Rattus norvegicus: one gene and its partners. The main gene of each other region encodes a partner of the protein of the gene in region 2 in a complex. Links are inferred from orthologs where the notes say so. Each region holds a gene or a part of one and is shown on either strand. Other genes may lie near its edges.

Region 1 (2,482 bases), about 79 Mb from region 2:
CCATCCCCCTCCATCTTCTAACTCTTGACTAGTTTAGCATATCTGCTTCCAAACTGGCCGGCATAATGTATGTCCTCAAACCTTTGGAAAATGCTCTGGTGAAAACTGAATGGGGAGAGGTGGAGCAGGGTCGGGACAGGACACCATTGTTTGCCAGTTTGTCATTTCTGAAGACACACAAACTAATTACCAAGAAAGGGGGGAGGGGGCTGCAGCATAAAGGGAAGTGAGGTTAATGACAGCAAAGACTAGAAATGGGTGGGAAGGAATGTGGAAAAACTCCATGCTTGAAGGTTTCCTTGGTACCAGACACACTGTAGGCATGAAGAAAATCGAGGTGAGGGAAGATCATAAAAGTGTGTGTGACAACTAAAGTACTTGTCAATAAACGCTTGCCCTGTGCTTCCGCCCCCGTTTTCTAGTCATATTCTCACGAAATCTTGATCCACAGAACTCTCTCCAAATACCTCCCAAAGAACACAGCAATTCAAACCAAAAGATATAACAAATCCTAACTTTATGTATGATATATATTTAAAAAAAAAAAAGGCGAGAACGACATCAACTATCGAAAAGCTGACTCGGAATGCGTCATCACTCCCAGGCAGTCTTCTCCCTCGCTTGCCGATTCTGGGATCACTCCTTCCGCACAGCTCCCAGGAGACCCGACAGTCTCTCGATGACTTGTTCGGAACCGTCCACAGGTAAGCAGGTCAGGCGATACACCCAACGGAGAATGGTCGAGAAGCAGGAGTCAGGAGGATCGGTCCACAGATGGCAGATGGGGAAGGCTGGGAAGCGCTCGCCTCAGTTCTCCTCCGGCTTGTCCGCCGGCGGCCCGCTGGGCTGCAGCATTTTCTCCATCAGGTTGAAACGCACGCGCGCTTTGCTCTCATTCTCAGCAATGGCGAAGTAGTTGAGGAGGTCGAAGTGACCCATGTAGGAGCAGTAGGAATCCCGATGCTGGTTCACAAGCCATTCCCACTTGGTGGTGTCGGCGTGGCCCGTGCCGATGTACTTGGACTGCAGATGCTCGAGCTGGCTGTGGATGGTGTACCGGTCCGTCATCTCGCCGCTCTGTTCTTAGGCTTCGAGGTCAGGCCACAGATGAGAAGCTACCGCTGTTCGGCGTTCAAATCAGAGAGACGCCGCCGCCGCTGCCGCCGCACAAAAGCTCTATTCGTGCTGGCGCAGGAGAAAGACGACACGCAGTCGCAGGAGTACTTTCTTTTCCTAGGCGGAAGGGGAAATAAAGTCTGTTGCGGGATTGGGGTTGCCTAGGAAACAGTGGGCCGTCTCCTCACGGAGCCCGCCTACTTCGAAGAGCGTTGCATGATGGTCCTCTTAGTGGCTCTTGGGTGATCACGTTCTAACCCTCGCGTTGCATTCTGGGACATGTAGTCCAAAGAGTTTGTCTTAGATTGTTTTTGAGGGGTTTTGCCTGGCTTATATAGGACAATGTCCAAAAACCTCGAAGCTTCATCCCACGGCTCCGGGCTACAAAGAAGGAGAAACCTACGTGGGTTTCATAATCCCACTGTCATTGAAATCTCATACTGCCGCAACACAACAGTATGAGCAACGAGGAAAACTAACTCTTGTACCTAGAAGTTAACATGGTGGCATGGTTCCGCCTTGGCCCAAGTTTTGTCTCTTAGGATTTGGGTACCGGGAAAAGTTTTTTTTTGTTGTTTTTTTTTTTTTTTTTGTTTTGTTTTGTTTTGTTTTTTGACTCTCGCTAGCTGCTTGTTGATCAGTGTCAGCACTGGTAGTCTCATTAATGGCTTCCCTAAGGAGTTCCAGGCGCCAGTTTCTCAACCCACCTAGGCTCTGTGGCCTTGGGCAAACAACCCCTCTTTAAGGTCATTCATAGGCTATTCCTTGAAGTCGGATATGGCTCGAGACAAGAAACCTCTTTCTCTTCATCTTGTGTTTTTCTGCTGATTTCTGCCTTATGTTGGGGGTTGTGCACTTTCTCGCATGGTACAAACTACTCAGAAAAAGATAATTGTACTTCTTTCATGGTACTCCCTGAGGATATGCGAATAGCGTGATGAAGATTGTATTCTCAAAAAAAAAAAAAAATCTTAAGAATGGGGTAAGAGCAATCATAGCCAGAGAGGATGGATGATGACAGACAAATTGAAAATACAGGAGTTTGGGGGTACTTTTGTTTATTTGATGTAAGAGGGGGGAGGCGAAGTTTTGTCCCTGAGCTCACAGCAATCCTCCTGACTCCTGAGACTAGAGACTTGTGCAACTCCATCTAATATTTATTCTTCTGTCTAAACTTTGTCATAAAGCATCTTGCCAGGTGGTGGCAGCACACATCTTTTTTTTTTTTTTCTTTTTTTCGGAGCTGGGGACCGAACCCAGGGCCTTGCCGCTCTCCCACTGAGCTATATCCCCCAACCCCGGCAGCACACATCTTTAATCCCAGCATTTTAGAGGCAGAGGCAGGTGGCTCTCTGAGTTCCAGGAG
Region 2 (4,139 bases):
GCGGGACTTGGCTGGGCAGGGAGCAGGCTCTCAGCGGGCTGAGGCTGGCCTCTAGTTTACTTGCCAGCGATGAGCGGGTTCCGCAGCACCACAATGACTGAGTCCCCGCGCAGGAACATCTTGGAGATGTAGCGGTCCTTGTTGACAGGCTTGGACTTCTTCTTGCCCTTGCCGCTCTTGGGGACCTCAGTCCACATCTCCTTCACATTTTCCAGCACCATGTTGCAGTGCCTGATGGGGTAAAGGGTGGAGGAAAAAGCCAGAGTGAGGGGGACATTCTGAATGTGTGAACCCTCCAGCAGCAGGCATAGGGACGGAGTTCAGGTTCCACAGTGGGGATGGGCAGGCTTCAAGGTGTGATCTCAGCCCCATCTTAAGTGTCCCTTCTGTGCCTCAGTTTCCCCCTTCTTGAAATGGAAACAGTCTACTTCATGGGGCTGATGTGAAGATTGGATGAAAGAAGCACTTAGGACCCCGGTACACAGTAAAGGTCACCAAAATGGCCCTGGCTCTGCAGTTAACTCTAACTCTGAGAGAAGCATTAGCTCCCTCCAAACCTTAAGTTCTGGGGTTAGACATGGTTCCCAACACGTGCACTCCAGTGCCTCATGGCCCTGTCCTCATGCAGGTGGACATGTGCTCACACTTGGATCAGTTCATTCCACGAATGCTTGCTTGAGGACAGTGACGATGAGCAAAGTACAATGCCAGATGTGTAGGACCACGTCACAAGGCAACTTCCATGCTAACTAAAACAAGGCAGGAGGGTATGCTTCGCCCCTGTAATCCTAGCGCTTGGGAGATGGTAGCAAGAGGATCAGAAGCATAAGGTTAGCCTCTGCTACATCTGTAGCCAGCCCAGGCTACATAGTTAAAGACCCTGCCTCAAAACAAACTAGAAAGCAGTAGAAGATATTTGACATTGATGTCTGGCCTACAGAGGAACAAACCAAACATCTTAATTCCTGTCCCTCCTCCTGCCGGGGATCTGATGACTTCTGAAGGTATTAGACATGTCCACAGTACACAGACAGACTCACCCGCAGACAAAACGCCCAAACACATAAGATAAAAAAAAAAAAGCCAAGCACCCCCACTTTCTAATTTTTTGAGCTAGCTGGGTCTTGCCCTGTGACCCTGGCTGGCTCCAACTGACAGTGATCCCCTTGAGTGCTGAGACTAAAGGCACTTTGTCACCTTGCCCACCTTATTACGACAATTCTTCTCAAATGACCTTCCCCAAGACAATGCCCACCTGTCAAAGGCCTTCACCCGGCCCAGGAGCTTCTTGTTGTTTCGACAGTTAATGAGCACTTGCGTGTTGTTTTTGACCGACTGTGTGAGCACCGAGAGGGGACCTGTGTTGAATTCCTCCTCCTCCCGCTTCTGCAGCTCCTCTGGGGTCATCTCACTCTTGGGTTTATTGAGGAGACTCCTGGATAGAGAACCCGGGGGGTGAGACGGGTTCAGGTTGGAAGCATAAGTGACCAAAGCTACATTGTCCAGTGTCTCCCCAGCCTGGCCCCCAAATGCCCTTCCTGGTACAGTCTTCTCTGGAGGCAGGAGAGACATTTCCAAGTTAGCCTGCTCCAGCTCATTAACCAAACCTCGTCCAGCCACTGTTGACCTTGAATTCTCAATTCTCCTGACTCCATCACCCAAGGTCTGAGATTACAGGGGGCTCACCATCATGCCTGGCACCTGATTCTTTCAAACCTCACTCTGTCGTCTTATCTTGTCATCTGCTTCCATGATATGTCCAAAAATTTGGCCATTTCTCTTCCATCCCACCCCACAACAGTGTCTCCCTGTATAAATAGACCTGCCCCTGGAACTCAGACTTGTCTGTCTCTGCCTCCAGGATACTGGGGTTACATCTAGTCTGTGTGTGGCTGAGGACCAAACCCAGGGCCCACAGTAGGTAAGTACTCTGTCCACTAAGCTAAATCCCCAGCCCAAGTATTGGGCTTTCAATGCCCAATACTTCTGTGCTACCTACTGGTGTTATTTCTTTCCTACTCAATTCTCCATTCACACTCCTGATCATCTAAGACATACTGTATGTACTTGTTTATTACTCTATGGCTTTCCTATTGGATTCTTTTTATAAGCCCTGAGAGATTTTTTTTCCTTGGTAGCAAGGACCTTCTATTTACCATGTGTCTAACTTACAGTCTACATAATATCCGCTCAATGAATAAACCATTGTAGTAGCCTGCTACTCTGACAATCTCTAATTAGGTTCAAAAGTCCTAATTTATCCTGGTTAAGTCCCATACGTCTCTATTTACTATTTCTAATAGTACTTCCTTCTCCGCCAAGCTCTTCATCCATTAAGACCACTTCTATATAAAATTACTATTACTTTTGTAAGCGGACACGCTATGAAGCTGGTCAAGGCTGACCACCAACTAGCGATACTCCTGACTCAGCCTCTCTAGGCTTGGGATTCTAGGCATGTGCCATCAGACTCAGTTTTTCCTTTACGGTTCATTTCCGCAAGCCTCGGTACCTAGAAGAGTCTTACACCCATTATGGAATAAAGCTGTCCCCTCTCCGGAACTCAAGAACCGAGGCCCCATGCCCGTTCTCAAATCCCTCAGAAGACATTATTTTTGCCCGAGAAACTCTACCCTCAGCTATGAGCACCCCATTTCGATTGTTATTTAGCTAAACCGTCCCCCTCCATCTTCGTGTCCCCGCCGAAGCCCGTCCCGGCCTCACATGGTGAAGGTTTCGCTAGCAGATCACTCCCGCCTCCAAGCGCGTTGCTTTAGCCTTTGGAGCACAGCAAGAGAAGGGCGGGACTTCCGTCTCCTGCGGCTGACTTCCGTCGACGCCTGCGCAATCACGACTGTGGGCGTGCCCTGTTACCATAGTGACTCTAAGGCTACGCTCTCCTGCAGAAAATGCCTATAGGGAGGATTTGAAGCCTCTGAGGATCACAATAGGTTGTCTGCTCATGCGGAAAATAAAACGGGGTCTGACTGAAATTGTTTTCCCGCCTAACTGTCTAGTTGGGAGAAGGAAAACGCAACCCGGTTTCCAAAATACCCGCCGACAATTTTCTTGAGGGCATGGCTTCAGGCAAACCAATCGGTTCCTTGTTTTAGGGATGGATGCCGCCCCTTTTTCCTTGAACCACAGTTTCTTGATCGACTTCCGTAAGGGGCGTGGCCCCGCGCCGGGGAAGGTTTCGTATATTCGGACACAGCTCATTGCCTGTTTCTCTCCCGTGGGGGCGGGCCTTAAGGTTTCCGCGCTCCCTTTTGGGTGGTGCGGCGCTTAGGAGAGCCAATCGCAATCGATTGGGGGAGGACGCAGTTACTGTGTTTCTTTATTGGCATTTGTAACCTCCGAGAGGCGAATCTTGGCCTAAACTCAAACCACCCTGCGGGGGGATTGGTTTCAGGGCAAAGCTGCCATGAGTCCGGCCAGCCGCGGGCGGTCTCGGCAGCGGCTCGGGGATCGCGGCCTCATGAAACCACCCTCACTTTCCAAGCGCCGTCTTCTGCCGCGGGTGCAGCTCCTGCCCCTGCTGCTGCTGGCGCTGGCCCTGGGCTTGGCTTTTTATATCGTCTGGAATAGCTGGCACCCTGGGGTTGAGGAGGTATCACGGAGCCGGGATCTGCGGGTAAGCCTTGGCTGGGGCCCAGCCAGCGTCATTTCCCTCTTTCCCTTCATATTGAGTCTCGGGTTAGCGTGGCCTTATCGTTTAGCCCTTGCCGCCTGTGCTATTTCTTTATCCATCACTTGAGCGTATGCCCCTTCCCAACAAAATAAGGTTTCAGGCTTGTTTTATGATTAGACCCCTCTGAAGAGGATGCATCCGCATAGAAACACTGGTAGATCTGAGCTCTGTGCCCAAACCATTTATTTAGAAGTCTCCATCACCCGTTTGCAATTTCTTCGTCAGGACTGCAGTAGGCTGGATCAGATTTGCTTTGAAGATTTCTCCCAATCTAGGAAATCTTTGGATGCTGGAGACTGCATCACCAAGAAGAATCAGCATTCCTAGTGGGCAACCGCGTCCGGGATAAGTTGGGAATGGGATCTTTTTCATTTTTCTTTCCCCCATCCCATTTCCCAACCAAGGTCCCGCTGATCGGAAGCCTTTCAGAAGCCAAGCTGCGGCTTGT
Region 3 (2,212 bases), on a different chromosome or scaffold from region 2:
TAGCTGTGGATCAGATGCATCAGTTAGAAACATAGAGTGCTGTCTGACCTGGACCCTTCCCACTCACTGAGTCTGCTTTACCCATTGGGGGAGAAACTTATCCCGTAGATCTCCTTCAGATGGCCTTCTAGGAACATAATGCAGCGTCCTGTGCGTAGGTCCCAAACTCGGCCAAAGGCATCCAGTCCCCTGAGGAGACAACATTTGTGTGAACATATGGAATACAGTGTGACAAGAAAGCGGGGTTGCCTAAGAGGTGAGACTACTAAGCTGCCCTTCCCTTGCTTTGTGGAGGAAATCTTACCCAGTGCCAGCCAAAGAGCCATCTTGATGGAAGGCAATGTCATACACACCCATGCTGTGGCCTTCCTGGTGTAGAATCTCCTCTTGAGCCTCTAAATCCCATAAGCGCCATGAACGGTCATAACTTAAAAATAAATAAGAATAAATTTTCCAACTTACCAAAATTATACCAACGATAAATCAGCAGATTAAGTGTCTATGACAAGGGGTTGGGGATTTAGCTCAGTGGTAGAGTGCTTGCCTGGCAAATGCAAGGCCCTGGGTTCGGTCCCCAGCTCCGAAAAAAAAGAAAAAGAAAAAAAAAAGTGTCTATGACAAGGAACTATAGATAACCATAGCTTAGCTCGCCGCTGGTCAACCATACTACCAAGAGCTGCCAGGCTGGAGGGGGACGGCTGAGGACAAAAGCAGACTGCTCTTCCAAAGGTCCTGAGCATGATTTCCAGCAACCACATAGTGGCTCACAACCATCTATAATAAAATCTGGTGCCCTCTTCTGGTGTGCAGGCATATATGCACATAGAACACTACTAAATAAATCTAAAGGCGGGGCAATTGTATCCTAAAAAAAGGAAAGAAAGGAAGTAAGGAAGGAAGGGGAAGAGAAGGGAAGGAAAAGGAAGGAAGGAAGGAGAGAGAGAGGAAGGAAGGAAAGAAGGAAGGAAGGAAGGAAGGAAGGTAGGTAGGTCTTTCTGACATGAGCAATGCCTCACCGTCCAAGAGTCTGTTTTAGTTGACAGTTGGGAGACCATGAACATTCTGTACTTTAGTGGGTATTCTTTAAAAAACAAATTCCCTGGATTGGGGTTGGAGCTCAATAGTAGGGAGGTCTTGCCTGGTATGTGCAGGGCCCTGGGTTCGGCCACGAGCACAAAACAAAAACAAACTTCTTGAAGAATGGCCCAGCAAAGATGGCACTGCCTCCCCCTCATTCCTCTGCTGCACTCCTTCACTCATCATCAGGCATTTGTGTATTTACTGGAGACTCAATTGAAATTTGGGCATTAAAGAAAGAAAGGACAAATAGAGCAGATCTAGAAATAGACCCGAATGTGTACAATCAGAATGTTCTCATTAAAGGTGCAAAAGGAATTTTAATGAAAATCTTAAAGGATGGTTGCAAACAGGTTTTGGTAGTACAAATACAGAACAGATAAACTCAGGAAGGGCAAAGCAATTGGAGCCTGCACTAAAGATGTGCAAGATGTGTGAGCATGTGGCAAAATAAGTGCAACGCCATCAGGGTGGGACACTGACATGAGGTATTACTGTGTGCTCTACTGTGGGCAAAACAGTACGACTGGCAACAGCAGACACCGACACAGCTACAAACCAGAGTGGGTGGAGCCCAGCTGTTTCTAAGATTTTATTCTGGGGAACAGCGTCTCACTATGAAGCCCAGACTGGCCTCAGTTGTGAGGCCCTTGTGCTGAGTGTTGGGACTGTAAGCATATGGCACTGAATCCAGCTTGCCCAAATCCTTTAAAAGCTAACATACATCTACTCTATACACCACCACTCCACAAACTAGCAATTATATTGTAACTATCTAAGAGCAAGGGAAAGACAACCACTATATCTACAAAAAGCTTCAATAAGGGTATTTATAGATGGCACAGGATGTTATTCCAGAGGACCCAAGTCCCAGGACCCACACAGCAGCTCACAATCATGCGTAACTCTAATCTGATGCCCTTTTTCTGGACGCAGGCAAAAAACTCATACACAAAACATGAAAAAAGGGTGTTTACAGTAGTTTTATCTTGACTGGCCACAACCTAGAAACATGCCCACATGTCCATCAACGGGAGGATGCATAAACCGTGGCTCAGACACACAACACACTACAACTCAACAACACTAATGGGTATAAACAGGCAGAATGAACGCAATCAAGTCATAGGTTGTT
Region 4 (4,221 bases), on a different chromosome or scaffold from region 2:
TTTTCTAAACTCATGGAGTGGTGAATTTATTCCTATAAACTCATTAATTTGGGATTTGAAAGTACATTGAAAATCTCCATCAGAAATGACAGGGAACAGTGAACTAAGCTGGAATTTGGTGACAGTGACTGATTCCTTTTAGCCAACAGAAAGCGAACTAGACAGTTAAAGAATATTTAATATTTGGTGAAGACAAACTAATTAACAATAGGAATAATTCCGATGAAATTGGTGTGTTTTGATAGGCGGACTGTAAAAGCAAGATAAATCAAAGAGGAAATAAAGGTGGAATACAAGTCATTTCAAACTCTTGGATATTTCTTTTATGAGCCAGTATTCCGCTACCAAGCACCTAGGACTTTAGATTTCAAATAGTCTAACCCCATGAATACACTCAAACTAGAGAGTCTGTGCTCACTCTTAATAAAACATGGAGGCTGTCTCTCCACCGATGGAGTAATCCTGGCTTCGCAGGTGAAAGTACGAGGTGTGAATAATTCCATTGCCTTGTCACCCCCCCACCCCTTGTGGTGTCCGAAGTCCTCCTAAGCAGGGAGAGCTGTCACTTTATTAACCTTTGGCACAGGTTGGAAACCTTGGTAATCTACCAATCAAGTCTGCCACTCAATGCTTCTATGGCTGCACTGGCAACTTGTTGGCAGGATAACGCTTTAGCAAAACCAGTAAGAGCTCTCTAGAGCTTTCCATCCTAGAGTGAGGACCGCTTCTGAATGCTGAGGCAGAACCCTAGTATGTTCAGTCTGGTTTAACCGAGTTAAAAGGGTGCCCAGTAGGGTCTGGGGATGCACTAGTCGGGGTGTAGGTGCACACACTGCCTCCCCACGCCATGCCCGCAGAGGGCCCTCGCTCACGCCTCAGTGCGGGTTCGGTGGCAAACACTGTCCGGACCGGGAAAGGTGTCAGCGAACACTAGTCCCACAAGACATCGATGGTGTCCGCGTCCGGTCATCGCGTTACCTGCAGCAGGTGAAGCTGGGCCACGAGGTGCCGTGGCAGATGGAGGAAGCAGTCCCGAGCATTCGTGAAGGCCACCGTCACGACCGCCCCACCAGACCCCGCACCGGCTAAGCGATCACTGCTCCACATTGTCCCAAGGTTCAACTCTCGCCGGAGAGCCGAGTCCGCCGGCTTCCCGTCAGGCCAGGGCGTCGGAGCCCGAGAACATCGATCGGGGCCGCCCCCCTCTTCACTCGCCTGACCGCTGTCACTCTCGGATCGCTCCTCCGAGGCTCTAGGGGGCGGCACATCGCTCGTCGAAGTCTCGCTCTCCGGAAACAATCGTCGATGGGGTCGATCCTCCAGCCAATCCTAACACGCTTGGCCCATACTGCTCTCTCATTGGACACAAAGGAGCACCGCTGGCGGATGTTGTTCTGGCGCGGGGGCTTGAAGCCGGCAAGATGGCCTCCAGTGACGGGAAACCCGGTGGCATATTCGACCACCACGTCCAGACAGCTGTGTGTGACTCGCGGGCCAAATACAGGGAGGGCCGACGCCCTCGCGCGGTCAAGGTAGAGTGACTTGGGTTCCTTCTCTCTCCTCGGCAGGAGCATTAACTTCCTGTCAGCACTAGCTCTCCATGGCCTGCCTCCATAAAGGCACGGCAGGGATGCTGTCAAGTCCATCTCTCAGTGGAGGGGGCACGAGGAACAAAGTTTATCGCTGTTGTCGGTTTACTGCTTACTCCACGATTTTTAGCTTTGCATCCTATAATACAAGGACAAGGTCTCACAGGACAAGCCCTGTTAAGTGACTGTTTACATTAGCTTCTCTGGGGTCAACTTTGGGAAAAGACGTCTGTTTAGTCAGATACCCTTATGTGGAGTGTGTTATTCTTTAGGCAGAAAGAGTGACAGTTTTGTGTGTATGTTTTGCAGACCATATTGAGCAGAGTATTTCTTGTTTTCAAAGCTCCATTTAAAAGAGGGATGGGAAGACAGATTTGCCATAGGCTTGTTTGAAGAGTACGTTTAACGGGCTCTCCCCCGACTTTAGGTATATACCATCAATTTGGAGTCTCAGTACTTACTAATACAAGGAGTTCCTGCAGTGGGAGCCATGAAGGAATTAGTTGAGAGATTTGCTCTCTATGGTGCGATTGAACAGTATAATGCTCTAGATGAATACCCAGCAGAAGATTTTACAGAAGTTTATCTCATTAAATTTGTGAAATTACAAAGTGCAAGGTATGTACAAGTTAAGCAGAACTCGCGTCTTCTATTCCTGTTGCCGTCATTTCGGCCTCAGGATTTCCCAAACAGACCCAAATCACATGAGCACTTCTCACTCTCAGTCTTCCTGATTTGGGGGTTGGGGAGCAGGGTTTATTTGAATAGCTTTAGCTGTGCTGGAATTAGTTCGATAGACCAGGCTGGCCTTGAACTCAAAGAACCCTTTGTCTCTGCCTCCCGAGTGTTGGGTCCAAAGGTGTGCAACACCCCATCTCGCCTTCTGGTTTAGTTTTTACCAGGCCTCACATATGCAGTCAGTCACTCTAACAGTGAATGATATCCCAGCTCTTCCTTCTGATGTTCGAAAGGCTGACTTTACAACACTTTTCCCATCCTGTGCTTGATGGTTTCTGAACCTGGAGTGTGGTAGATTTGGGAGATGAGGAATTACATTTGAAGCACATTTCCAGTCCTATGGCTTCCTGACTTTGGAGAATTTTATTCCTGCCAAGCACATTTTTTTTTCTTTTCCTAAAATCCACAGGGCAAAAAGGTCTACTTCTTGAGGTTCACTGAGGAAGGATGAAATGAAACAATTTATGTAAAAGGATTAGACTGGTACCTCCTATTAAGAGTAAATATTAGAGCCAGGCAGTGGTGGCACAGGCCTTTAATCCTAGCACCTGGGAGGCAGAGGCAGGTAGATTGAGGTCGAGGCCAGCCTTGTCTACAGAGCTAATTGCAGGACAGCCAGAGCTACCCAGAGAAACTGTGTCTCCAAAAAAACAAACAAACAAACAAAAAAAACCAAAAAACAAAAACAAAAAGTAAATATTAGTAATGACAGTTCTTATTAGTATGGTTCTATGTTAATCAACCTTGTATTCCAATAAGACTGAAGTCAACAATGCTTTATTTTATGTTAACCCTTTGGGTGGGGGAGTGTGTGACTGTAGGTGGGTGCACGCCTGCGTGTGTAAAACTTGCTATGTAGGCCAGCTGACTAGAACTCAACTTCCTCCTGAATCTGCCTCCCCATCCCCACCAGGTTTAAAGACATGTACCACTACAGTGTACTCTACCCTATGTTTTGAGACGAGACCCTTATTGAAACTAGAACTCATGGCTAGATTGGTTGGCCATCAGGCTCCAGTGGTCTTACCTTCTCTATCTCGCCAGCACAGGGATTATAGGCACAGTACGGTGCCTAGTTTTTATGTGCACGCTAGGGATCTGAGCCTAGCTACTCAAGCTTAAACAAGTACTTTTTCAACTGAGCAGTCTCCCTAGCTCATGTTAGCCATTTTTTCTTTTTAATCATTAACATGATCTAAACCATATCCTTCTCTGGCTTTTGCCATTTATAAATGTTTTGGTGGAAAAGGGCTTCAAATCCTCTGGCACTGGAGTTACAGGTGGTTGTAAGCTATCCAAAATGGGTCTGGGATTTGAATCTACTCTTCCCAAAATCAGCAAGTGCTCTTATCACCCACCTAATTATCCCTCCAGCCCCTGTGTTTCTTTTGTTCGCTACTCCTAGTCCACCACAAAATCACTTGACTTCAAAAGGCCATGTGCCTTTTCTTACCAAGTGGGCAACTCTTCGTGGTATAGAGAGCAGATTCTCTAGCGCCTTGTATCTCTACAGACCCTGATACAGTTGGCTTTGGAGTCAGCCATCTGAGTTGAATCCTAGTTTTATAGATGAATGTATGTGACCCAGAATTTCCCGGTGCCTTGGTTTTACCATGAGATGGTTATGAGATGTCAATTTAAGTGGCACACTTGTGGCTTTGCATGGAGTAATCGCTCAATAAACATTAATCATTATCTGTAGATACAGAAGTACTTAATTACTTACAGTGCTTGGTTCAGCATAGGTGTTCAGCATTTCTTTTTTAAACATTATTATTTCTCTTATTTTTATGTGTATGTGGCGTGGCTATTTGTTAATTGTTTTTGAACCATGTAACTTATGCATTTCTTTAGCATTCTCTTTAAGTTATGCATTTCTTTTTAGGATAGCTAA
Region 5 (4,277 bases), on a different chromosome or scaffold from region 2:
TCCTCGGCTAGTGAGCTGGAAGCCAGGCCGGGATCCATGAGACCCTGTCTTTTAATAAAAAAGGGGGAGGAGGGAGTGGTGTGTGCTTTTAATCCCAGCACTCAGGAAGCAGAGGCAGGTGGATATCTGAGTTTCAGGCCAGACATCGCTACAGAGGAAACCTTGTCTCAAAAAAACAAAACAAGAAAACAACAACAAAAGGAGAAGGGGCTAGCCCCACCTTTCCTTTGATGCTCCAATAGGAACAACCTGGGGCAGTTTCAAATTAGTGTTTGGAATCAATATACTTGTTAAGTCAGAAGAGTCAGAGAGGTACACACCAGCCGCCTTCTTTTTGTCCATGCCCTTCCCCACACAGTTCAATGCCGCTGTGACCACCGTGGGCTCTGAGAAACCCAGCACTCTCTTCACTGTCTTCTCTATCCATGGTTTCAGCTCATCCAGTTCCCGCTTAGACAGTGCCATTTTGGAGGAAACAGAGACTAAGAGCTCAAATCGGACAAAGTACTACACCTAAAAGAAACCAAGCAAGAGTCAGAGAAAAGGAAAACAAAGCAATCAAGATAACAGTATAATAAGGGTGCTTTCCCCACTCCTATTTTCAACCCCTAGGCATGTCTCTCCATTTGATATGGAGAATACTTTCCCTAAAACCAAGCTTCAAAACAGGAGGAAAGGGTTCCATTAGCTTTTCTGAGTTTTTTTTTTTTTTTTTTTGGTTCTTTTTTTTTCAGAGCTGGGGACCGAACCCAGGGCCTTGCGCTTCCTAGGTAAGCGCTCTACCACTGAGCTAAATCCCCAGCCCCAGCTTTTCTGAGTTTTGAGATAGGGTCTTACAATGTAGCTCATGCAGAACTCAACACTTGGCAATTCTCCTCCACTTACCTAGTGAGGAATTCCGGGAGCATACCACCATGCCCCACTCATTTGATATTTTGATTCTAACTCAGCATCAGTCATCAACACTATCTGAAGAATAAACAAACTAGGAATAACCTAATCTGAGGAATGGGTTCTAACTTCTGACTCTGTCATATAAAGGATAGGCAAACAGAACATCTGAAGAGTCAATCTAGAAGTCAACCTTACTATTACGTCTACTCTGGAAGGCATTCTCTAACCCGGCTTTGACCTAAAACATCTTTAATGGATACAAATAAGAGGTTTTATTCAAGTCAGTCCTCCTGTTAAATCTCATAATCTTTAAGAATGCTGTCATTTCTCTGTAGATTTATTCATGGTTGTAAGCATTCTATATGCCAAAATGATTCTTTATTACTTAATGCAAATTGGTGTAAAATTTCAACACTATTCATGCTTACATTTGGGTACTCTTAAATCTCAAACATCTTCACCAGCATAAAGTTAACTTAATTTCTGATTTTCTTCCCAATGGCTGTATGTCAGTCAATTGACCTTAACTTCCCAGCTGACCTCCTCTTAGCACTGCCCTGTATCGTAGTGCGATCTGGGAAATGACTCTTTCAAGGTGTTTAAAGACATCTAAAAGATGCCACCTCAAATGACCATACAAGTCTGTGATCCCAGCACAAGGGGAATCAGGAGTTCAAGTCCAGCCTTGTCTACGGAGTTCAATGTCAACTCTTGGCTATATGAGACCTTGTCATAAAACAAAAAGATGCAGTCTAATTAGCTCCTACAATTGACAGACTTATCTCTCAGAAGATCTATCAATGCACAGTATTTAATACACCTGAATGAAGCTGAAAGGCTGTTCCTCAGTGACAAGTCTTATGAATAATCCTGGGATTGCTTTTTGGGCCATCATGAGATAGCAGTATACTGCCTATCAAAAAGAAAGCAAACACAGGCACTAAAGGTGGAGAAGAAAGCCCACTGAAGAGAGGATATAGTAAGCACTACCATTTATAAGCCCTTAGGTAAGCAAGTTAATCACCAGAGCCTCAGGATACTCATCTTAGAAAGTGGGAACATCTGACATAACACTCCATTCAGTAAATACTTAAGTTCCTATTACTTGTTAAGCAGAATACTTACTGCATGTAAAGACACATACAGCAGTGAACAAAACAGCCAAGAATCCTCGTGTTAATGAAACTTACGACCCACTACAATTGAGTAATAGACTGGAAAGTTTAAGCAATTTTCAAAATCCAAAGTAATAGGTGAAACACTAGAAGACTGGATGTGAGCCCAGGCAATATACTGACAAATAGATGTCTTCAAATTCGACCCGAATGTGCAAACGAAGCAGTCAATGGATAAGAAAGTTCCAATCACTACAGTTGTCACCAACCAAATAACTATAATAGCGAGGAGGCGTCAGTGTCGGTGTGGGCCTGGGGGGTAGAGGGGAACGGGAGGAAGGCAGAAGGCTGTCTTCTGAATGAGCAGAAAGCAGACTCTCATCTTCTGAAGGAATTCCTTACTTTTCTAAGCTACAAGCCCCTGAGTCCCCCATGCTCCCTCTTTACTATCTTTCCAACTGGCCCCCGCTTCAACCGAGTCCGACCTAACTCCTCACCTCAGAGCAGGTCTGCCCACCCTGCTCCTTCCCGCCCCCGCCCTTTTCCTTCAGCAAGCCCATTCTGATTCCGTCCCCCAACAGAACCCGGGGTTCCTCTCAGCCTGCTTCCCGCCGAACACTCCCGCCCTGTCCAGCCGCTCGGACCGAAGGCTATCCTCTCGGGCGCAGGGCCACTACTCACCTCACAAACTTCAGCCCCTGAGACGGAGCCCGAACGTTACACCGGAACCGGAAACCTTCCGGTTGCCCTATGGCCCGCCGTCGCTACCGCCAGAGCCACCGCCACGCTGCGGTCCCTATAACACGTGACTTGAGAAGGCGGGACCTGAGCCGCGCAGCCGCGGTATCAAGGTGCCGGCGGCCGGGCGCACGCGCGGCGGGATCCTAAAGCTTAAGTCCGCTCGCTGACTTGCCGCGGAGCAAAGCCAACGTTAGTCCAGTCCTGATTGCCGGGAGCAGAAGTCGTTTGGCAGCACATTCCCTTGGGTCAAGAGTTAGTGCGCTAACCTTATTGCTAGAACTAAAAGCAAGGACATCCACATTCGTACTCAAAGTGTCCTTTATAGTAAAAACAAACAAAAAAAATATTAGGGGTTGGGGATTTGGCTCAGTGGTAGAGCGCTTGCCTAGGAAGCGCAAGGTCCTGGGTTCGGTCCCCAGCCCCGGAAAAAAAGAAAAAAAAAAAAAATTGAGCTGGAGAGATGGCTCAGCGGTTAAGAGCATTGACTGCTCTTCCAGAGGTCCTGAGTTCAATTCCCAGCAACCACATGGTGGCTCACAACCATCTGTAATGGGATCCAATGCCCTCTTCTCGTGTGTCTGAAGACAGCGAGAGTGTATTCACATAAAATTAAAAAAAAAAAAGTAAAACCTTCATGATAGAGCTGGAGAGATGGCTCAGTGGTTAAGAGCACTGACTATTCTTCCAGAGGTCCTGAGTTCAATTCCCAGCAACCACATGGTGGCTCACAACCATCTGTAATGGGATTTGATGCCTTCTTCTGGTATGTCTGAAGATAGCGACTATATATATATATGTATATATATATATATATATATATATACATATATATATATAAATCTTTTTTTTAAAAACCTTCATGCTATTGGAAAATTCTAATTTCCATCTTACTAGGAAACAACTTCACTTTCTAATGAGTCTACCGCATATTTCTTCTAGTTCTAGTTTCTGTTGGGGTTGGTAAGATGGCTCAGTGGGTAAAGGTGCTTGCCACCAATTCTTGCAGCCTGAGTTCAATGCTCAGGACCCACAAGGTAGAAGGAGAGAACCGATTCCTGAAAGATGTCCTCTGACTCCCTCAGGTGACTGTGGTGTGTGCGCACACACACAAGGTACATAAATACATGTAATCTGTAAAAGTCAGTTTTTGGCATAGTGGTGGTGTATAGTCCTTAATTCCAGCATTTAGAGAAAGGCAGGCAGATCTCTGAATCTGGGGCCAGCCTGGTCTACAGAGTGAGTTCCAGGAAAACCAGGGCAACCCTGAGAAACCATCTTGAAACAACAACAAAGCAAACAAAAACTCTTAGAAGAAAACAGGGTTTGTCTTCATGGCATTGGATTTGGCAATGAATTCTTAGATGTTACACCAAAAACAAGAGCAACAAAGTCAACTGGACATGGAAAACTTCTGCCATTTGGCTGGGCGTGGTGGCAGATGACAGTAATCATCTCAGTGGTTGCATCTGCAGAGTGGGAGGTAACACCTACATGTCAGGTACCTAAGGAAAGACCTTGTCAACTCAG
Region 6 (3,500 bases), on a different chromosome or scaffold from region 2:
CAGAAAGTTGCATGATTCTTTTAAAGGCAGATTAATACCTGTGCTGTGTAACTCAGACAGAGGGAAGTGCTCCCACTCCTCTTAGCACCTGTCTCTTAGGTTGAGCATACTGTAATCAGGAATTAGCAAATTTTAGCTACCTAGGATATTTATTGGCATATTTTATATTGTTTTTTATCAAAGGAGCCATTGGCAAGGTGTTGTATATTCCTTACTATGTAGAAATTACTGATACTGTTTTCTTTTTTCTAATTAAAATTTTAAAGAGACAAGGTCTAGGGATACAGCTCAGTGAGAGTGCTTGTCTCGCATGGATTAGGAACCTGGGTTTGAATCCCTAGAATCTAAAAGCAGGGAGGGAAGTAATGCAAACCCATTCATTGTGTGTGCATGTATGTGCATGCTTTGGTTTTTTTTTTTTTTTTTTCTTTTAATTATTAGGACTATGATGCATATAATCTTGTTTTTTAATTAAAAGTGTTTTTATCCATTAAAACACCTTTAAAACATTTTTATTGGTTGTAGTGCATTAAATTGTAAGAGCTTATGTTTCAGTGCCCTGAGCAGTGTAGCTGGTATTGTGCTATATCTTTGTTCTCAGTACTGGAATCCTGTAAGTACAATGTTGAGTTCAGCTGTAGAACTGACTGTGCACTTCTTAGCCTTGGTATTTAAAGGGTTTCTGTAAAGATTAGACCACATTCCCCTCTGACAGTAGTCTTATGATATGGTCTTGAAGAATACCACAGTGTTTAGCTTCATTGAATAGGGGACAAAAAATGACACGGAAGCTCTAAAACATGTAAGAGAGCTCCTATAAACACAAGAAGGCTATTAGTGGAATACTTTTACACAGATCGTGAGATTGTGCAACTGTAACCGTTCATCTCTGGACCGTGCATTCCTGCTCTAGACTGTTGCCTCAGATCTCATTTGGTAGTCACTGGCCCGTTGAATATTTGAAATACCGAGGGCTGGTCTGTAATGCTAGATACAGCACAGCCAACTTTAGGGTTTGTGTGTTTGTTTTTTTTCCAAGACAGGATTTCTCTGCATATCCTTGGCTGTTGTGGAACTCTGTATAGACCAGGCTGGCCTTGAACTCAGTTTTACCTGTTTCTGCCTCTTGAGTGCTGGGTGGGGTTAAAGTTAGACGCCACCATGCCTGGCTATTTATATGCGGTGTGTGTTGATTGATGATCTATGTTGAAATAATTTTCAGGATTGAACTGAAAAGGGCTGTAAAGAATAGATAGGGTTTTTTTTTAGGGGAAGTAGTTGTGCATTGATAAATACAGTTTCATTATAATGCAACTAATTAATCTTAGTTATTGCTGGGAAGAGACACCATGGCCAAGGCACTTACAAAAGGAAGCATTTAAGTGGGAGCTTTTGGAGGCTTACATTTACAGAGCATAAGTCTGTGGCCATCATAGCAGGAGGCAGGCTGGCATGGCGTCGAAGCAGTGGATGAGAGCCTGTATCTGAGCCACAAGCTGGAGCTGACACAGCTAACCAGACTGGATCTGCCAGGGGCTCGTGAACTCCGCTCACTCCCCAGTGACACACCCTGAACCATCCTAATCCTTCTCAAACTAGTCTAACTGGGAACCAGGCAAAAGACTACAGGCTTCATTCTCCCTCAGACCAGCACAGGGCCTTCCCTCCCTGGTTAGAAACAGCTGCTGAGAGCAGTGGTAGGTGTTGCAGGAGGAGCCTGAAGCCTGCACCTCGCACCCTGCACAATTGAGAAGACATTTAACATCCCTTTGTACTGTAGTGATTCCTACTGTAAAATATTGCTCTTGTTTACCTTTGTCAGTGTCGAGCTAAGCAAATGCCTTGTCCCTGACTTTTGATTTTTCTTTTTTTTTTCGGAGGTGGGGACTGAACCCAGGGCCTTGTGCTTGCTACCACTCTGCTAAATCCCCAACCCCTCTTTTTTTTTTTTTTTTTTTTTTTTTTTTTTTAAAGCAGGGTTTTAAGGGTGCTCTTCATCATGTATCTCTGGCTGGGTTCTTTTTTCTTTAGCCTCTTGAGTGCTGGTATGCAGATGCGTGCCACTGCTCAGCCTGTATGACCTTTTTGTATTTACTAAAATAATGCATGTTTATAGAGAAAAATAGAGTGAAATTTTTCAGAAGAAAATGAACTAATCAGGCATTGTCACTGCTCTAAGTGGTGGAGCTTGGGAGAATGGAGGTGACAAAGGAGGTGGGTTAAAGTCTCATGCAATAGCCAACTTTATTCAGAGCATCAGACAGTTTATATCCACTGAGGGTAAAGAGAGAGGCATCTTAAGAGCTTAACCTGTACAGTCACAAGGCTAGTTACATGTAATTGAGTAACAACAGCAAGTACTAGTAAGTAATCTGAAGTGAGGACTTTCCTACCCCCTGCACAGGAGGAGCATAAATCATTCCAACAGCTACTCCATGCTTTAAAGAAACTGAGGTCAGGAGACTCCAGTTTTCTTGAAGAGTTCTCACAAGCATGCAGAATTCTCACAGAACTCCATTCCTGGACTGAGTTCCAGCATGGCATGATGTTCATCTCTAAACCTGAGCCCAGTAACAGTTAAGGCGAGGAGGATCTCAAGTTGAAGGCCTTTCTGGACTCCGTACTGATTCTGTCTCAAAAACAATACAAGGTCCCAAATACGGTTTATCAGCCAAGACATTGATCAGAAAAGTGGCTCCTGCTCAGAATATGGAGTTCCCACTACTAAATGTCTTCCTGAGATGAGGTCCATTAGGGTATAACAATATAACAATCTTAAGTCATATACACCTAACTGAATCTCTATTTACTGTGTATTGGGTTTCAGAATTCAGGAATAATTTTTTAGGATTAATTTTAATATGGCTAGATAGTTATTTATGCAGTGTTAAAAATTTTGTAGACATTTATGTTTTTGTGTTCTTTCCTTCACACACAGTCTGGAGCCAATTAAATCCTTTGAAGCTCCTGCAACCATCAATTCTGCATCTCTTCATCCTGAGAAGGAATTTCTTGTTGCTGGTGGAGAAGACTTTAAACTGTATAAGTATGATTATAATAGTGGAGAGGAATTAGGTGAGTCTCATTCTCTCCCCTTAATCAGGTATCTCCCTCCACCTGTGGGTCCTGACCCCTTCTAGGGATGTGTGTGTCTCAAATGACTCTTTCACAGGGATTGCTGAAGACCATTGGAAAACACAGGTATTATGATTCATAACAGTAGCAAAGTTTTAGTTCGACGTAGTAACAAAAATAATTTTATGGTTGGTGGAGGTCACTACACCACCACAGCTGTGTTAAAGGGTTGCAGCATTAGGCAGGTTGAGAGCCACTGCCTTAAATAATTTACTATCAAAATATTATGAATGCCTTAGGTATTTACGTATGGTTTGTTGAAAGTAAGTTTTCCAGCTAACTAAAACTGGAAACTCATACCTTCAAAAACAAAGGTGTTATCCATTTTTGATAGAAATACAGACCCTCTGACAAGACTGAACTCA
Region 7 (3,500 bases), on a different chromosome or scaffold from region 2:
CTTGTTTGGCTGTAAGAAAATGTAGTGGTTATCCCTACAGGATAAATTGGTGCATGTTAGTTACGGAATAAAATAACTAAACTGTAACACTGCTTTTATATATCGAGACAAGATCTGGCCTCAAACTGGCTATGTAATACTGGAATGAAAAAAAAAAAGAACTGCGCCCTCAGCGGATGGTGGTGGAGCACCTTTATAATCCCAGTACTTGGGAGGTGGAGGCAGAGGCAGAGAGAGGCAGAGAGAGGCAGGAGGAGCTCTAAAGCCAGCCGGGTCTACAGAGTTCCAGCACAGCCAGGGCTACACAGAGAAACTGTTTCAGGGGGACAGGGGTGGGGTGCACTGTCACATGGAGCCAACATTACATATTTTGTTAAAAAAGTGTGAATAAACACATGGGAAAGTTCATCCTGACTCAATGTCTCAGTAAGTCTTTAGTACTATTTACAGCATACGCTTTATCCTTTAACCCTTGAGATAAAAGCATTACTACAAGTAACATTTTCTGTATTTTTCTAAATGAGATTTTTCCTTTTACTGTTATGTTAATAGTGTTTTAATAATTCAAAGAACAAATCATTCTAGCATGAAGTCAGAAATCCGAGACCAACTCTAAAACCAGAATCTTAAAACATTTCAACAGTCCTATTAATTATTAATCTCAGATTGCCCAAAAGATAACTTGTCACATAGGAAAATACATGAAGCATTCACAGAGCACAATTTAGCTGATTTAAAAGGGACAAGCTGTGGCAGGACACTTGACTCAGAACAAGTTCATGCAGTACTCAGATCATGACTGATTCAAAGTTGCTTCAAAACACCCTCAGAAGGGACTGTGAACTGTGCTCAATGACTGACCACCAAATCCCACTGCTCTTCTCTCCTTACTCCTAGTTCATTAGCCCATTATCAACAACAGATCCTAAGATGGCCAGCTAACATCTCCTCAGGAACTCCACACTATAGGAGTGCCCCTGCCCTAAGTACCCAGAGACCCCAACGTGGGCATTTCTGATCACAGTACCTAGTGGAGAAGCCAAACAACTTCCTCATTCCACCCTCCATCTTCCTCCCTAGTCACCAGAGACATCCCTCAGTGGAGCAGCAACTCAGCAATTCTCACTGCGCAGTAACAGGAATGGACACTTAAACTCTTACTAACTGTGGCTAAGTCACTCGATCAAAGAACCTGACTACTGTGGTCTTCTGTAGCTGTCAAATCTCAACACTACGGTCACATCCACAGAGCTCAAACCTATTTAGAGCTTCAGTGGACATAAAACAGACTAAACTGCCCACAGTGTAACTGTCTGGTTAAAGAGGCTGCTCCTTGCCTCAAGCCTACAAGAACACACAACAGGTCCCGCTGCCCACAACCGTGTCTCCTGAATGCAGTTATCTATGACACGTGTGCAAGGCCCACATCAGAGCAGGAGCCTGGCACCTGTGCAGGCTCATAAGTCGGTAACTAATAAGTTCCAACAATGGCCATATTTTAATAGTTAACTCCTTCAGTTCAGGTAGAATAAAATAACTTCTATATAATCTAAATGAAAAAAAAAATGTATTTTCCAAAATAATTGTGGGAACTCTGAACAGTTTTTTTCTTCAGAGAGCTTTCTAGCTCTAAACACAAGAAATGTTTATGCGTGTAAATGTCATAGGAAAGACAAGTGAGCGAGAGCAATGAGTACTAGATTAGGACATGGTGATGGACTCAAAGAGAGGCTGAAATGTGCTCATTTTTATATAAAATTAATACAACGCATGCTAAAAAATAGTTAAATATCACACATTTGGTTACTGAATGAACTTGATGTTAAAATTAAGTAATGATCTGTACTTTAGTTTTTATGGTTTGCCATTTTTAGCAGGTTCTCTTCCCACAGCTATCCCTCGGTGGAACAGGTGGAACGCACAGCTTGACTAGGCCTTGTGGTGCTCCCTTGTTATCCAGGCACTTTGGGCAGTCAGTGGGCTCAGAACACCACTCTCGAAAACCCCAACCCTCTCACCCCCCCTCCACTCACCTTTCAGGCTGCCCCTATTTCTCCAGCCCTAGCACCAAAGGCACCACCGGAATGGATCCTCTCCCTTTTCTTCACGTGTGCTTAGTGCTAAATAAAGCAAACCCCAGCAAACCAGTTTCCACACTGACTAATACACACTCTACTTTGGCTGGCACAACCACAGGCCTCCAGTTCTTCAGAAACCAATCTACTGAACAGAGTAGGGACATCATCTTAGATTGTAAATCCATAAATCAATCAAAGAAATAAAGCAAATCAACCTTGAAGGGGACACCATGTCCTTCCCCTGGGAGCATAACTGTGACCAAAAATAACAACAGACACAAAGTCTGCAAATAAGATATTAAACAAAAGCCTTAAGCAGAGGTGTGGGGAGGGAGGGTGGAAAATAGTTAACTGATCGGTCTCAATAAAACGAACCTTTACAGTAAGAACACACGCTTCAATTTGTTACCCCACTCAAACAGCCTCAACCGAGCTATGATCTGTGCCACCTGTGCATAGAGGACAATGAGGAAAAAAAGCATCTTTACATATTGTCCCATTTCAGCCAAGCCCATTCAGTGTCACATAGAAAGTACTGCCCAGCCTATTCTGGTGGAAGGTAGGTACAAGTGGGCTCACCCAGATGCCAAAGGGAACAAAGTGCGTTGTGTTTGTACCTTTACCCGAGGTTCTTCCTGGAGACACAGACACACGACTTTTTCTTGCACGGTTTGACTGCTGGGGAGTTGGGGAATGGCGAGTTTTGGGTGGCGGAGTTGCTGGAGATGACGGCCGGTGCCTTCGCCTCGGAGGACTTGCCGAAGGTGATAACCTACGAGTTTTCCGAGGAGGGCTGGATGTCCTCTTGGGAGGCTTCTTTGGCGGTGACCGGGAACGAGATGAAGAGGACGACGAGCTACTTCCAGACAGCGATGCGGAAGAACGTCTCCTTCTGTGGAAAAAGCACTCACTTCACTACCTGCGTCCCTTTGAAGAGTGACTTCACAGTATGTACAATATGCACAGAAACACAGCTAGTTCTTTTAATCCAACTTTTGAGTTTATGTAGCTAAGTACATAAATTACTTCAAAAATATTGGAAACAAAACCATAACCTAGGACAGGAAACAGCTATCTCTGAGAGTAAAACACATAACTCCTGATTGTGTTTGAGCTATGAATGCTATAATCCAGTAACCAAGCAGCCCCTTCCAGAAGGGAATACTGGGGTTATGGAGTTTGCACAACTTTGAGGGTGAGAGACAGAGACAGTGAGAGGGAGAGAGTATTGTTCATTCAGAGTGATGTCTAGCAGCTTTTAAGTTTCACTAAAAAATATGTGCAAGATTTGAAATTCATTTAGCTACATAAACTTAGAAGTAGGGGCCTCTCGAATTCTGCAGCAAAATCTGTGGTTAAGTTCTGTTGCAATTACGTGTACCTGCAGAATTCACCTTTGGCAGAAGAATTCCTGAGAACCTG

Evidence for each region.
Region 1: Snrpd2 (region 2) and Sf3b5 share a complex: the UniProt entries of both Homo sapiens proteins name them as parts of the minor spliceosome. The link is inferred for Rattus norvegicus from reciprocal best matches to the Homo sapiens genes SNRPD2 and SF3B5.
Region 3: Snrpd2 (region 2) and Prpf4 share a complex: the UniProt entries of both Homo sapiens proteins name them as parts of the U4/U6-U5 tri-snRNP complex. The link is inferred for Rattus norvegicus from reciprocal best matches to the Homo sapiens genes SNRPD2 and PRPF4.
Region 4: Snrpd2 (region 2) and Rbm48 share a complex: the UniProt entries of both Homo sapiens proteins name them as parts of the minor spliceosome. The link is inferred for Rattus norvegicus from reciprocal best matches to the Homo sapiens genes SNRPD2 and RBM48.
Region 5: Snrpd2 (region 2) and Prpf3 share a complex: the UniProt entries of both Homo sapiens proteins name them as parts of the U4/U6-U5 tri-snRNP complex. The link is inferred for Rattus norvegicus from reciprocal best matches to the Homo sapiens genes SNRPD2 and PRPF3.
Region 6: Snrpd2 (region 2) and Strap share a complex: the UniProt entries of both Homo sapiens proteins name them as parts of the SMN-Sm complex. The link is inferred for Rattus norvegicus from reciprocal best matches to the Homo sapiens genes SNRPD2 and STRAP.
Region 7: Snrpd2 (region 2) and Srrm1 share a complex: the UniProt entries of both Homo sapiens proteins name them as parts of the minor spliceosome. The link is inferred for Rattus norvegicus from reciprocal best matches to the Homo sapiens genes SNRPD2 and SRRM1.

Annotation. Positions count from the first base shown.
Region 1 is NC_086019.1:9,175,920-9,178,401, reverse strand, and holds Sf3b5 (splicing factor 3B subunit 5), read right to left. Parts: upstream 1,214-2,482; 5' UTR 1,069-1,213; coding exon 808-1,068; 3' UTR 501-807; downstream 1-500. UniProt on the Homo sapiens protein: Component of the 17S U2 SnRNP complex of the spliceosome, a large ribonucleoprotein complex that removes introns from transcribed pre-mRNAs.
Region 2 is NC_086019.1:87,925,070-87,929,208, reverse strand, and holds the start of Snrpd2 (small nuclear ribonucleoprotein Sm D2), read right to left. Parts: upstream 2,801-4,139; 5' UTR 2,727-2,800; coding exon 2,725-2,726; intron 1,436-2,724; coding exon 1,256-1,435; intron 232-1,255; coding exon 57-231; 3' UTR 1-56. Other genes in the region: Qpctl (glutaminyl-peptide cyclotransferase-like protein), read left to right, coding at 3,425-3,634, 4,096-4,139. UniProt on the Homo sapiens protein: Plays a role in pre-mRNA splicing as a core component of the spliceosomal U1, U2, U4 and U5 small nuclear ribonucleoproteins (snRNPs), the building blocks of the spliceosome.
Region 3 is NC_086023.1:80,885,511-80,887,722, reverse strand, and holds part of Prpf4 (U4/U6 small nuclear ribonucleoprotein Prp4), read right to left. Parts: intron 428-2,212; coding exon 305-427; intron 190-304; coding exon 82-189; intron 4-81; coding exon 1-3. UniProt on the Homo sapiens protein: Plays a role in pre-mRNA splicing as component of the U4/U6-U5 tri-snRNP complex that is involved in spliceosome assembly, and as component of the precatalytic spliceosome (spliceosome B complex).
Region 4 is NC_086022.1:31,512,506-31,516,726, forward strand, and holds the start of Rbm48 (RNA-binding protein 48), read left to right. Parts: upstream 1-1,421; coding exon 1,422-1,532; intron 1,533-2,016; coding exon 2,017-2,207; intron 2,208-4,212; coding exon 4,213-4,221. Other genes in the region: peroxisomal ATPase PEX1, read right to left, coding at 979-1,107. UniProt on the Homo sapiens protein: As a component of the minor spliceosome, involved in the splicing of U12-type introns in pre-mRNAs.
Region 5 is NC_086020.1:186,089,628-186,093,904, forward strand, and holds the start of Prpf3 (U4/U6 small nuclear ribonucleoprotein Prp3), read right to left. Parts: upstream 2,801-4,277; 5' UTR 2,691-2,800; intron 514-2,690; 5' UTR 466-513; coding exon 321-465; intron 1-320. UniProt on the Homo sapiens protein: Plays a role in pre-mRNA splicing as component of the U4/U6-U5 tri-snRNP complex that is involved in spliceosome assembly, and as component of the precatalytic spliceosome (spliceosome B complex).
Region 6 is NC_086022.1:172,383,825-172,387,324, forward strand, and holds part of Strap (serine-threonine kinase receptor-associated protein), read left to right. Parts: intron 1-2,938; coding exon 2,939-3,075; intron 3,076-3,500. UniProt on the Homo sapiens protein: The SMN complex catalyzes the assembly of small nuclear ribonucleoproteins (snRNPs), the building blocks of the spliceosome, and thereby plays an important role in the splicing of cellular pre-mRNAs.
Region 7 is NC_086023.1:152,858,437-152,861,936, forward strand, and holds part of Srrm1 (serine/arginine repetitive matrix protein 1), read right to left. Parts: intron 3,498-3,500; coding exon of another isoform or gene 3,460-3,497; intron 2,971-3,459; coding exon 2,696-2,970; intron 1-2,695. UniProt on the Homo sapiens protein: Part of pre- and post-splicing multiprotein mRNP complexes. As a component of the minor spliceosome, involved in the splicing of U12-type introns in pre-mRNAs. Involved in numerous pre-mRNA processing events.